2 linked regions of the Anolis sagrei genome follow. The protein of the gene in region 1 purifies or fractionates together with the protein of each later gene. This does not show direct contact. Links are inferred from orthologs where the notes say so. Each region holds a gene or a part of one and is shown in the gene's direction. Other genes may lie near its edges.

The links. Proteins that work in one complex are often made in the same cells at the same time.
Region 2: the proteins of DUSP4 (region 1) and MAPK14 purify together in Homo sapiens (affinity purification with mass spectrometry; 3 studies listed by BioGRID and IntAct, with this or other methods). This does not show direct contact. The link is inferred for Anolis sagrei from reciprocal best matches to the Homo sapiens genes DUSP4 and MAPK14.

The regions. Positions count from the first base shown.
Region 1 is NC_090022.1:195,039,504-195,046,579, reverse strand, and holds the start of DUSP4 (dual specificity protein phosphatase 4), read left to right. Parts: upstream 1-4,055; 5' UTR 4,056-4,148; coding exon 4,149-4,530; intron 4,531-7,076. UniProt on the Homo sapiens protein: Regulates mitogenic signal transduction by dephosphorylating both Thr and Tyr residues on MAP kinases ERK1 and ERK2.
Region 2 is NC_090024.1:186,304,331-186,311,826, forward strand, and holds the start of MAPK14 (mitogen-activated protein kinase 14), read left to right. Parts: upstream 1-4,495; 5' UTR 4,496-4,954; coding exon 4,955-5,070; intron 5,071-7,496. UniProt on the Homo sapiens protein: Serine/threonine kinase which acts as an essential component of the MAP kinase signal transduction pathway.

The DNA.
Region 1 (7,076 bases):
GCTAAAAGATCTCAGCCGGCATTTGGAAACAATCAACATTGACCAAATCACGATCTGTCAACTGCAAAAGCCCATCTTACTTGGATCTGCTTGCTCATTCGAAAATACATCACGCAGTCCTAGATGCTTGGGAAGTGATACGAAATACAGCATATAGAGCTCATTTGCTGTGACGTATTGTGTTTTCGTGTCAGTAAAATAATAATAATAATAATAATAATAATAATAATAATAATAATACAGCCCCTTCTACACTGCCAAATAAAATCCAGATTATCTGATTTGAACTGCATGACAGTGTAGACTCATAATCCACTTCAAAGCAGATAGTTTTGATTATATGTTTTGATAATTTGGATTATATGCAGTGTAGAAGGGGCCTACATTGACCATATAATGTAGTTCAATCTGTATTATAAGGACAATGTAGATGGGGCCTTTGTGGTGGCTACTTTCTCCCATTCTGGTCAGGCCTTCCTCCTAGGATTGTTGCGAGGACAAAGTGGAGATGAGTGCAACAGTGTTCACCACTCCCAAACTCTTTAGGCTCCTTCAACACTACCATATAATCCAGATTATCAAATAAGATAATCCACATTATCTCCTTTGAACTGGATTATATGAGTCTACACAGAGGCGGCCCTAGGTAATTTTCAATGGTAAGCAAACATATTTTGGCACCCCCCAACCAATCACTGATATATATTTTCTGTTCGTCGTGGGAGTTCTGTGTGCCATATTTGGTTCAATTCCATCATTGGTGGAGTTCAGAATGCTCTTTGATTGTAAGTGAACTATACATCCCAGTAACTACAACTCGCATATGTCAAGGTCTATTTCCCCCCAAGAGCACCCCTGGGCAAAATCAACTATACTGCAAATGCGTACTTTGCGTAATGGGTTGAGCTGCCCCTGAGTCTACACTACCATATAATCCAGCTCAAAGCAGGTAATCTGGATTTTATATGGCAGTATAGAAGGGGCCTCAGAGAAAAGGGATATAATGGTAACAAAGAAAGAGAGAAGAAGAGATCTCAACACATCAGCAGTCTCCTCCACTGAAGTGGGTGGAAGTTGACAATGAGTAAGCATTGGCTGAATTTCTGTTTGTGTTTTAAGTGGTTGTATATATGTCACAGTAATTGCCACATTTTGGCCCCATGTACCAGCTGACACAGAAAAACTCTGCCTGCATCCACTTCTGGTTGGGTTTCATCTGATGTATAAACCTGTCAGTGAAGGGCACTTGCATTCCCACACTCGCCTCTCTTTACTTTCCCTGAAAGTGAATGGAACGCCGACGCTTACGCTATAATTACAGGGTGAGGAAAGGGAACTCCTTGCTTTGTGAAATATCAGTACAAATCCCCGAGGTAATTATTATTTAGGCTGTACAAGCAAGTAACACGCCGCAGCTTCTGCAATCCCCATGACTTCCTAATAGGGAACTGTTACAAATCAGGCCTTGCCTGCACAAGGTTGAAGGTGCACTTTCAGGAAAAACAAACCAAAATACAAACTTGGCCGGTGACCAGAGTTGTCAGGCCTGTTTTCAAACCGTCCCTCTGGACTCTTGAGGTTAACTAGACAAGGGCTCTGCCTGACAGCAGTCTTTCTTAAAAGCCCACATTGGCAGAATTGTTGGGTGTCTTCAATGGAAGACATTGATATTAGGGGTTAGGAGAATGGAACAATCCAAAAGTGCAAGCAGCAATTTTAGATTTTAATTAATTTTAGCTTGGTCATGAAATCTCTCTGTCTAAGTAAAGGTAAAGGTTTCCCTTTGACATTAAGTCATATTCAACTCTTGGGGGGGGGGGGCATTTCTAAGCCGAAGAGCCGGCGTTGTCCATAGACGCCTGCAAGGTCATGTGGCTGGCATGACAGCATGGAGCGCCCTTACCTTCCTGCCAGAGCGGTACTTATTCATCTACTCACATTTTGCATGTTTTTGAACTGCTAGCTTGGCAGAAGCTGGAGCTAACAGTGGGAGCTTATCCTGCTCCCCGGATTTGAACTGCCAACCTTTCGGTCAGCAAGTTCAGCAGCTCAGCGATTTAACCCACTGTGCCACCGGAGGCTCCTTAGATTCAAACAGGTAGAACTCTTGTCTGTTTGAGGCAAGTGTGAATGTTGCAATTAGGCACGTTGATTAGCATTTAATGGCCTTGCAGCTTCAAAGCCTGGCTGCTTCCTAAATCTGATTGTATAAATTTGTTAATGTGTTTCTATGTTGTAATTTTTAGTAAAGCACTTCAATGCTTTTGCACAGAAATTTACAACCCAGATGTGTGATTGATTTGCTCATTCAGTCAAAAGAAAAAAATACCTTAAAAAAATCCCATCCTTCCAAAGCATTGAACTCTGACAGTGGAAATAGTGTCAAAATGCACTGAGTCAAGAGCGTAGATGCACACAGAAAAAAAGGGAAGCCAGGTGACGACAGGTCAACAAACGACCTCCTGAGAAAAATGTATAATATCACAAAGGACTGCCACCTTACCCGTCTCATAGGAAACCTGCTACAAAACAGGAGCTTTTTTGTTGACTTCCAGGGCCAGAGAAGCAGATGGCGGAAACAGAAGAATGGCCTGCCTCAGGGGAGCATGTTTGCTCCACCCATGTTCAACATTTACACAAATGACCAGCCACTGCCAGAAGGGACAGAGAGTTTCATCTATGCTGAAGATCGTGCCATTACTGCTCAAGCAGGGAGCTTTGAGATGGTTGAACAGAAGCACTCCGAAGCTCTAGGTGCTCTTACTGCCTATTACAGGGAAAACCAACTGATCGCTAACCCATCTAAAACACAGACATGTGCCTTTCACCTTAAGAACAGACAAGCATCCTGAGCTCTAAGGATCACCTGGGAAGGAATCCCACTGGAGCATTGCAGCGCACCCAAATACCTGGGAGTCACTCTGGACCATGCTCTGACCTACAAGAAGCACTGCCTGAACATCAAGCAAAAAGTGGGTGCTAGAAACAATATCATACGAAATCTGACTGGCACAACCTGGGGATCACAACCAGACACAGTGAAGACATCTGCTCTTGCGCTATGCTACTCTGCTGCTGAGTATGCATGCCCAGTGTGGTACACATCTCACCACACTAAAACAGTGGATGTGGCTCTTAATGAGACATGCCGCATTATCACAGGGTGTCTGCGACCCACACCACTGGAGAAATTACACCGTTTAGACGGCATTGCACCACCTGACATCCGCCGGGAATACTGAATACTGAAAGGACCAAGGCAGTGACATCTCCAGCCTATCCACTGTTTGGGTATCAGCCAGCACGTCAACGACTTAAATCAAGAAATAATTTTCTAAGATCTACAGAGACACTTGCTGGAACACCTCAGCAAGCGGGAGTCCAAAAGTGGCAGGCTCAAACCCAGAACCTCAATCAATGGCTGATACCAAATGAGAGACTCCCCCCTGGGCACACAGAAAACTGGGTGACTTGGAAGGCGTTGAACAGACTGTCCTCTGGCACCACGAGATGCAGAGCCAACCTTCAGAAATGGGGCCACAAAGTGGAATCCACGACATGCGAGTGTGGAGAAGAGCAAACCACTGACCACCTGCTGCAATGCAACCTGAGCCCTGCCACATGCACAATGGAGGACCTTCTTGCAGCAACACCAGAGGCACTCCAAGTGGCCAGATACTGGTCAAAGGACATTTAATCAACTACCAAGCTTGCAAATTTTGTGTTTTGTCTGTCTGTTTTGTTCTGTTAGAAATGTAATACAATTGTCTAGTTGCCCCTGACACGATAAATAAACAAACGACCTAGGAAAGAAAGGTCTTTTTCCCTCTCTTTTTTTTATGAATGAACGCGCGCAGATCTTTTTTAATCACAGGGCCCCGCCCACCTCCTGCTTGTCCACGCCCCCATCGTGACGTCAGCATTCCATTCACTGCCAGGGGAGGCTAGGGCCCGCCCCTTCCTAGCCTCCCTGGCAGTGAATGGAACGCTGACGTCACAATGGAGGCGTGGACAAGGGGGAGGTGGGCGGGGCGGGGCGATTTAAAAGCCCCGCCCATGAGAACCGCAGCCGCTTCATTCTTAAATCCCCTGCTGCTGCTGTTGTTGTTGTTGCTGGTGCAGCTGCGTGGCGGCCATGCGCTAAGGCCATGATGGTGGAGCCCCTGGGCGAGATGGAGTGCGGCGCCTTGCACCGCCTCCTCCTGCACTCTTCTTCGGGGTCCAAGTGCCTCCTGCTGCTGGACTGCCGCCCCTTCCTGGCTCACAGCGCGGGCTTCATCCGCGGGGCGCTCAACGTGCGCTGCAACACCATCGTGCGGAGGAGGGCCAAGGGCGCCGTCAGCCTGGAGCAGATCCTGCCGGCCGAGGAGGAGGCCCGCGCGGGGCTGCGCGAGGGCCTCTACGCCGCCGTGGTGCTCTACGACGAGCGCTGCCCGCGCGCCCAGGCCCTGCGCGAGGACAGCACCCTGGCCCTGGTCCTGCGCGCGCTCACCAGGGACGCCCAGCGCGCCCGACTCGCCCTCCTCAAAGGTCAGCAGGCGCAGGCAGGCCGGCCGCACGCGCATCTGTCGGGAGGGATCGGGCCGTGCCCTTCGTTGTGTCAGAATGGGGTGGGAGGGACAGGACGGCTGCTGGGGTCTCCTCCAGCTCTGAATCTATGGGCAAGCAGGCAGTCCCCAAGTTACAAGCAAGATAGCTTCTGTAGTTCAATTTGTATGGAAGTGGGAACAGGTACATTTCTAAGTGTGACTCCAGCCAAAGATATATTATTATTATATATATATATATATATATATATATTATATCAAATACTGTGTGTATATATGTATGTATGAAATACAGAATCTGTATGGAAGTCAGAACGTTTTTCAGTCAAATATATAGCATATTATATATAAGATAGATACTATAACAAATACATATATATATATATATAATAGTTGCATTGGTATGGAAGTCAGAACATTTTAAGTGTAACTTCAGCCAAAGATATATATAAGCTACTAGCAGTCCCTTACCACGCGTTGCTGTGGCCCACACGGGGGTTCTGTATGGGAGGTTTGGCCCAATTCTATCGTTGGTGATGTTCCGAATGCTCTGTGATTGTAGGTGAACTATAAATCCCAGCAATCACAACTCCCAAATGTCAAGGTCTATTTTCCCCAAACTCCACCAGTGTTCACATTTGGGCATATTGAGTATTCGCGTAGAGTTTGGTGAAGATCCATCATTGTTTGAGTCCACAGTGATCTCTGGATGTAGGTGAACTACAACTCCAAAACCAAAGGACACTGCCCACCAAACCCTTCCAGTATTTTCTGTTGGTCGTGGGAGAACTGTGTGCCAGGTTTGGTCTAATTCTATTGTCGGTGGGGTTCAGAATGCTCTTTGATTGTAGGTGAACTGTAAATCCCAGCAACTACAACTCCCAAATGACAAAATCATATTTTTGAGTGATGGTCACTCCTTGTGTTGTGAGACGTTTTGCTGCCAAATTTGGTGTGATTTCGTTCATTGGTTCTTTGGTTTTTAAGGTACTCATTATGCACAGAGCATTCTTGTATATATAGATATATTATATCAAATACTTTGTGTGTGTGTGTGTGTGTATGAGAAATATAATCTTTGCATCAGATAGGGAAGGGTTAATACCCCATGTGGTGTTTGTTTTGGTGTCTGTGCTCCTCTTCAGAAGATTTTTTGTCTTGTTTTCTGTCTCTGTGATAATTGGATTTTGAAAAAAAAAATGACTTGTGAATGTGATAAAGCTTCAGGGGAGACCCCTTTTCCCCATGGTAACTCCTTCAGGAGGGAATATCCCTTCCTAAGGGTAGATTTCTCTCACTTCCTGTTATCTTACCCACCCTCCTCCTCCTTCTCCTCCTCCTCCTCCTCTATATCCCACTTTATCTCTCCTGTAGGAGACTCAAAGTGGCTCAGCATACAATTTAAAATATAAAACTATGCAAACAATAAAACAGGATTAAATATAAAACAGTATTTTTTAAATTCCCAGTTTAAAACCATTAAAACACATTCAAAGTTAAAAACCACAGCAACTTGTGACTTGATCTTAGGGTCCCAACTGGCTTTAGCCCAGGTAAGGGGAAAACCAGGCCCGGGGGCCTGATGCGGCCCCTTGAGCTCTTTCCTCAGGCCTTCCTCTCTCTCACCATCCTATTATTTATTTATTTATTTACTTACTTACTGTATTTGTGTACCGCCTTTCTCAGCCAACTGGCGACTCATAATTGAATGGATCCTATCCTTCCTTCTGTCTCCCTTCCCCTCCTCCTTCCCTTCCTTATTTCCCTTGTTCTCCTTCCCTCCTTTCCATCCTTTCATCCTTCCTTCCCTCTTTTCTCCATCCTTCCCTCTTTTTCCTGCCTTCCCTTTTGTCTTTCTTTCCTTCCTTCACTCTTCCCTCCCCTCCCTCCTTCTATTCTCTTCCTTCCTTCCTTCCTTCCTTCCTTCCTTCCTTCCTTCCTTCCTTCCTTTGTCTTTCCTTCCTTCTCTCTCCCCTCCCTTCCTCCCTTCTCCTTTTCCTTCCTCCTTTCCTCTTTGGGGGATGTTTAGCTGGGAGAAGAAAAGGTAGGGAAGGAACATGAGAGCCATGTTTCAAGATTTCAAAGAGTGTCCCATTGAGGGAAGGGGGGGGGGCTAACTTTCTGCTGCTCTAGAGACCAAGGCACAAGGGAGCAATGGGTTCAAATGGCAGGGAAAGAGATTCAGCTGAAAAGATTAGAAAGAACTTCCTGGAGAGCGGCATAGGCGGCCTTAGGAGTGTGGAGTCTCCTACTCTGGGGGCTTTTCACAGAGGCTGTCTATTGGGAGTGCTTTGATTGTGTCATCCTGCATGGCAGGGGGTTGAACTGGGTGCTCCTTGGGGGTCTCTTCCAACTTGAGGATTCTAGGATTCTATGTCAGGAGTTGGCAAAGGGGGGGGGGTGTCTCATGGATACACTTTTTCTCTCCCATCCATCATCAACCCCCTCCCTAACCAGCCCACCCCGCTCTGGGCCCCCAAGTTAGAAAGTTGGCCCATGCTTGCTTTAGCCCCAGAGAAGTGTGGGTTT
Region 2 (7,496 bases), on another chromosome or scaffold:
TTCAAAAAATTGTTGGAGCGGGTGTCAAAAACCAGGAACATACATACATATGTGGTGGCAATGTAAATATGTAAATAATTTTTGGGAGAAAGTATTTAGAGAAATAGAAGATATAATGAATATGAAAATTGAGAAAAGTCCTAGTATAGCCTTATTATCACTATATAACAACAAACAATTGAACAAGGAGGATAAAGAAGTGATAAACTTATTAACAATAGCAAGACTGCTCATAGCAAGGAACTGGAAAAAAGAAATAAATATACAAATAGAGGAGTGGTACAAGGAAGCATGGAAATTGGCAATAAATAATAAGCTGACATGTATATTAAAAGTTAAAAAAGTATATGGAAACAAAGTGATTTTGATGTTGTATGGGGTAAATTTGTTGTAAATGGTTTAAAAAACAAGGAAGGTTACCGCCACAAGAAGAAATGAGATTTTGGACAGATGATATGTAAAAGTTGTGGCTTGAAATGGGGGGAGGGGAGCACAGTGGTGGGGGGAAAAAAGGGGGAAAATGCTTAAGCAGAAGAAAAAGATTATATGTTAAAGAGGGTGTTGAATAATATGTAACTGCTATAAACAAATGTATAATAAATGTAATAATTATGATAAAGTAATAAAAATATTTAAAAAATAAAAAATAAAATGTATATCTATAAAAAGATACATATTAAAATTTATTTCTATAAAATGTGTATTAAAATGCAAAAAAACACAACCCAGATTAAACAAAGGACATTAAAATTCATGTTTAAAAGCTGTTTTTATAAAAGCATCTTGGTTGAGTGACAGCAACAAAAAAATTGCCAGACTATACCAGATGCATAATTCTTAGGTGTAAAAATAATATCCCATGAGATTAGCATAAACACAAGGACTGCGAGAGAAAGTTGCACCATCTAGTTGAAGAATTGGCAGGAAAGCCACAAATGTAATCTTGGATTTCCCAGGGTGCACCTTCTACACTGTAGAATGAATTGCAGTTTGGCACCACTTCAACTGCTGTGGGGTCCAGGGAGCTGTAGTTTGACAAGAGCTTTAGCCTCCTCTGCCAAAGAGTGTGTATGCCTTGCCAAAGTACAACTTCCAGGATTCTGTGCCATTGAGCCAGGGCAGGTAAAAGTGGTGTCAAACCGCATTCCTATAGCAGGCATGGGCAAACTTTGGCCCTCCAGGTGTTTTGGACTTCAACTCCCACAATTCTTAACAGCCTACAACCTTGTTGGTCAGGAATTTTGGATATGACATCTGTTTACTGGTTGACTCATAAATTAGTGGCAAAGGAAATTATACTTGTTCAGGCCTTGGTTGTGGGATTATGTGTTTGTAATTGTTTTGTAATTGTTTTGTGTTCTGTTTACACTGTAATGTGTTAATATATGTAAATTTAATTAAAAAAAAGCAATTGTGGGAGTTGAAGTCCTAAACACCAGGAAGGTCAAAGTTTGTCCATCCCTGTTCTACAGTGTAGAGCAGCGTTTCTCAACCTGGGGATCGGGGCCCCTGGGGGGGATCACGAGGGGGTATTGGAGGGGCTGCGAAAGACCATGTGGGGGGGGGGGGGTTCAGAATGCTCTTTGATTGTAGGTAAACTATAAATCCCAGCAACTACAACTCCAAAATGTCAAGGTCTATTTTACCTAAACTCCACTAGTATTCACATTTGGGCATATTGAGTATTTGTACCAAGTTTGGTCCAGATCTATCAACGTTTGAGTCCACAGTGCTCTCTGGATGTAGCTGAACTACAACTCCTAAACTCAAGGTCAATGCCGACCAAGCCCTTCCAGTATTTTCTGTTGGTCATGCGAGTTCTGTGTTTCAAGTTTGGTTCAATTCCATCGTTGGTGGAGTTCAGAATGCTTTTTGGTAGATGAACTAAAATCCCAGCAATTACTATTCCCAAATGGCAAAAATCAACCCCCCCCCCCCCCCCTCCAAGCCCCACCAGTATTCAAATTTGGGCATATTGGGTATTTGTGCCAGATTTGGTCCAGTGAATGAAAATACATCCTACATATCAGATATTTACACGACGATTCATAACAGTAGCAACATTACAGTTATGAAGTAGCAGATGACGTCCAAATCTGTCACTCCTTCCCACCCCGTTACTAAGGAGGCTGTTCAGCTACTGAACCAGTGCTTGGCCACTGTGTTGGACTGGATGAGGGCTAACAAATTGAAATTGAATCCTGACAAGACAGAGGTCAGTCAAAAGGCCGAACAGGGCATAGGGTTACATCCTGTGTTGGATGGGGTTACACTCCCCCTGAAGACGCAGGTTCGCAGCTTGGGAGTGATCCTGGATTCATTGCTGAGCCTGGAACCCCAGGTTTCAGCGGTGGCCAGGGGAGCTTTTGCACAGTTAAAGCTTGTGTGCCAGCTGCGCCCGTACTTTGGGAAGTCTGATCTGGCAATAGTTGTCCACGCTCTTGTTACATCCCGAACTGATTACTGCAACACATTCTACACGGGGCTGCCTTTGAAGCCTGTTCGGAAACTTCAACTAGTCCACCGGGCTGCAGCCAGATTACTAACTGGAGCGACATACAGGGAGCACACCACCCCCTTGTTGTGCCAGCTCCATTGGCTGCCGATACACTTCCAAACTCAATTCAAAGTGCTGGTTTTGACCTATTAAGCTCTATGCAGTTTTGGCCCAACTTACTTGTCTGAACGCATCTCCCTCTATGTCCTGCTTTGCAGTTTAAGATCATCCGGGGAGACCCTGCTCTCGCTCCCGCCAGCATTACAAATACGTCTGGCAGGAATGAGAGACAGGGCCTCCTCGGCTGTAGCCCTCTGCCTGTGGAACTCGCTTCACAACGAGGTAGATCGGCTTCATCCCTCCTGTGTTTTAGCAAGAAATTGAAGTCGTGGTTTCCGAACCGTCTTCAAAGACATCCCCATGTAGAGTGCGTTGCAGTAATCTATTCGGGATGTGACCAGAGCGTGGACGACCATAGCCAGTTCAGACTTCCCAAGGTACGGGTGTAGCTGGCGCACAAGCTTTGACTATGCAAAAGTTGACGTGGCCACCGCCAAAACCTGGGGTTCCAGGCTCAGCAATGAATCCAGAACCACTCCCAAGCTCCGAACCTGTGCCTTCAGGGGGAGTGTAACCCCATCCAACTTTGGATATGGAATTTGACTGGAATGGTGATACGGTGGTTAATACTGTTTTTATTGTTTTATTTAATGTTCTATTTATGTTTTAATTGTTGTTATATTGCTTTGTTATATTTAATGGCATCACATTGTGCCAAATTTAAGTCATCCTGAGTCCCCCTTCAGGGGTTGAGAAGGATGGGGTAGAAATACTGGAAATCTATATATATATAAATGCTCTGTGCATAATGAGTACCTTAAAAACAAAAGAACCAGTGAACGAAATCACACCAAATTTGGCAACAAAACGTCTCACTATACAAGGAGTGGCCATCACTCAAAAAAATATTATTTTGTCATTTGGGAGTTGTAGTTGCTGGGATTTATAGTTAACCTATAATCAAAGAGCATTCTGAACTACATTAACGATGGAATTGAACCAAACTTGGCACACAGAACTCCATGACCAACAGAAAATATTGGAAGGGTTTGGTGGGCAGTGTCCTTTGGTTTTGGAGTTTTGTTTTTTTGTTGTTGTTGTTTTTTTTTTTTGTCGTGTCAGGAGCAAGTTGCTTCTCTTGTGAGAGAATTGGCTGTCTGCAAGGACGTTGCCCAGGGGACGCCTGGATGATTTGATGTTTTTATCATCCTTGTGGGAGGCTTCTCTCATGTCCCTGCATGAGGAGCTGGAGCTGATAGAGGGAGCTCAACCGCCTCTCCCTGGATTCGAACCTGCGACCTGTCGGTCTTCAGTCCTGCCGGCATAGGGGTTTAACCCACTGCGCCACCGGGGGCTCCTACTTTTGGAGTTGTAGTTCACCTACATCCAGAGATCACCGTGGACACAAGCAATGATGGATCTGGACCAAACTCTACATGAATACTCAATATGCCCAGATGTGAACACTGGTGGAGTTTGGGGGAAATAGAATCTTGACATTTGGGAGTTGTAGTTGCTGGGATTTATAGTTCACCTACAATCACAGAGCATTCTGAACCCCACCAACGATAGAATTGGGCCAAACCTCCCACACACAACCCCCATGTGGGCCACAGCAACGTGTGGCAGGGGACGGCTAGTAAGTAAATAAATAGCAACCAAAATAATTTTGTGATTGGGAGTCACCACAACAGGAGGAACTGTATTAAAGGGGTCCTGGACTAGAAAGGTAGAGAAACACTGGTGTAGAGAGAGAGAGAGAGAGAGACAGACCAGCTGGAGCTGTCACAAAATCTCATCCTTCCTGTTCTCAAGCTCCGCCTTCTTTCGCCTTTTCTTCTCGCTGCCTTCAGGCTCTCGCGAGACCTTCCCGCTGCTCCGCGGATTCCAGAGCGCTCCAGCTAGGTTCCATATTGGGGCATCTCGCTGGGAGTTTTTTTTTTTCCATCCATCTCCCGGAAGTCTCGCGAGACCTCCGCGATCGATTGGTTCTGGCATCTAAGGAAGAAGGGGAGGTCGGGAGAAGTCAGGCGCGGGCGAGTCCTCGTCGTTGCGGGGCTGAAGCGGGCTTCTTCCAGGGCGACCGCAAGCCTCCTTACGCTGAGGGGGGAAGGCTTTTTGCAGGGGGTGGGGTGAGGGGGTCCCTAAAAGCAGTTCCCAAGGAAAGAGGCGCCCCGTGTTTCCCCTGCAGCGGCACGAGGCGTCCGGGCCAGCTGAGGCGGCGGTTGGGCGCGCGCGCAGCACAGAGAGAGAGAGTGTGTGTGTGTGTGAGTGAGTGAGTGACGGAGAGACCCCTCCCCTTTCCCCCCTCCCCTCTGAAGGGGGCGGAGCCAAGGGTCCCGTGCGAGGGTCTCCCTCCCTCCAGGCCGCGCTGGGCGGGGCGGGCCCGGGGTCGCGATGACCCACGAGCGGCCCAAGTTCTACCGGCAGGAGCTGAACAAGACCATCTGGGAGGTCCCCGAGCGGTACCAGAACCTCTCGCCGGTGGGCTCCGGGGCCTACGGCTCGGTCTGGTGAGTGGCAACCCTTCGTCGAAAAGGGAGGGAGCTCCTTAACAGAGCCTCAGGGTCACACGTTCAAGGCAGACCGCCTTGGCCGCATCTGCAGTTTGACACCCCTGCAGTTGCCCTGTCTCAGTGCTGTGGAGTATTGGGAGTTCTAATTCGATGAGTTAGCATCTCTTTGGCAGAGATGGCTGAAGGCTCCTAGGATTACAATATATTCGTAATAATACAATATAAAAATCATATATTGGCCAAGTCTTTCATGGCTGGGATTATTTGCTTTAGGTTTTGTATTGTTATATTGTGTGTTGAGGCCTTGGCCTTTGTAAGCCGCATCGAGTCCTTCGGGATATGCTAGCGGGGTACAAATAAAGTTTAATAATAATAATAATAATATTTAGGGTTATGGGGGCTTGGAGAGTCTCCCGAGTACTGGTGGCTGCTGCTGGGCTCCTCCAGACCTCTGGCCATTGGCGTAATTTATTTCATTAAAATAATAATAATCACTGGATTGTTGTAGGTTTTTCGGGCTATATGGCCATGTTCTAGAAGCATTCTCTCCTGACGTTTTGCCTGCATCTATGGCAAGCATCCTCAGAGGTAGTGAGGTCAGATTTCACAATAATAATAATAATAATAATTATCTTTACTTATACCTCGCCACCATCTCCCCGATGGGGACTCGGAGCGGCTTACATGAGGCCAAGCCCAAACAACAATTACAATAAAGAAAAAAAAACCAAAACACAAACCGAAAATGCAAACAATAACAATAACATCATATTAACATAAAACATACGCATACATAACAATGTAAAAATTACAAGTAGCACAGGCAAAATAACAATAACAACCTGTGAGGATGCTTGCCATAGATGCAGGCAAAACGTCAGGAGAGAATGCTTCTAGAACATGGCGACATAGCCCGAAATACCTACAACAACCCAGTGATTCCGGCCATGAAAGCCTTTGAAAATACATTAAATCAGTTTACAAAATCAAAATACAGATGCAGGCAAAACATCAGGAGAGAATGCTTCTGGAACATGGCCATATAGCCCGAAAAACCTACAACAACCCAATTATCATATACTTTATATTACTAATAATATTACAGTTTAGAAATACAGTACAATATTGTAATATTTAATACTATATTGTGCTGTGCCAATAATATAATATATTGTATAGACATATGTTATTGATAATATTATAATGTAATACAAAATAATACTAATAATACAGTGTAATAATTTATATTTCATATTACATGTAATACTGCAGTATGGTGGTATAGTACAGTATAGTAATATATAATACTAATATTGTGCTGTGCTAATATTATATATTGTATATACATATATTATTGATAATATTACAATGTAATATAATACTAATAATACAATATAATAATTTTATATTCCATATTACATGTAATATTACAGCATAGTGGTATAATACAATATAGTAACATGTAATACTAATATTGTGCTGTGCTAATGATGTAATACATTGTATGTACATATAACTTGTAAGCTGCTCTGAGTCCCCTTTGGGGTGAGGAGGGTGGCATGTAAATGTCATAAATAAGTAAATAAATAGGATTCCATAGCACTGAGCCATGGCAGTTAAAGCACTGACAAAGTGCATTAATTCAACATCCTGACTGAGAGTACATCTACGCTGCAGAATCAGCACAGTTTGATACCAGTTTAACCATGGCTCAATGCTGTCGAATCCTGGGGGTCCAGCCATATCTGCAAAATCGTGCATTCCATAGCATTGAGCCAAGGCAGCTAAATTGGTGTCAAACAGCATTCAGCTCCTCTCCTGTGCAAAAGCTGGCTGGCTGGCGATGCCGCCTCTACGCAGGTGCATTGTGCACTGTCACAGTATCTGCTGCAGTTCGCGCGTCTCTCCTGCAAACCTCCTTGACCCCTTCGGTTCTGTCTTTGCATGCACCCCACTAGCTTTTGGTGCTGAGGAGGCAGCCTTTGGCAAAAAGGAGTTGTTTCATAATTGTTCAAGGTTGGTTTTTTTTTTGAGATTGCAAGGGGTATAAAGAGGCTTGGCATTTTAGAAGCTACTCCGGCATTATATCGACTTTCATTCTTGTTCTTTTGCCAGCCCAATGTATATTGAGTTTCCCTTATTTTGAATTCCAGAATCCTCCAAAATTTCAATCACTCTTGGTTCCAAACATTTTGGCTAATTGGGGTCAAATTTTGTTGCTTTCTCTTACTGCATGATATTGCTCATACTAAAGTTTCCATGTCTTCGTGACAGAAGGCATTGAGGCCAGCCTTATTATGTTTATCTTACATTGCATCTACACTTCAGAATTAATGAAGTTTGACACAGCTTTAATTTCCTTTGCTCAATAATATGGAATACTGGGATCTGTAGTTTGGTGATGCACCAGCACTCTTTGGCAG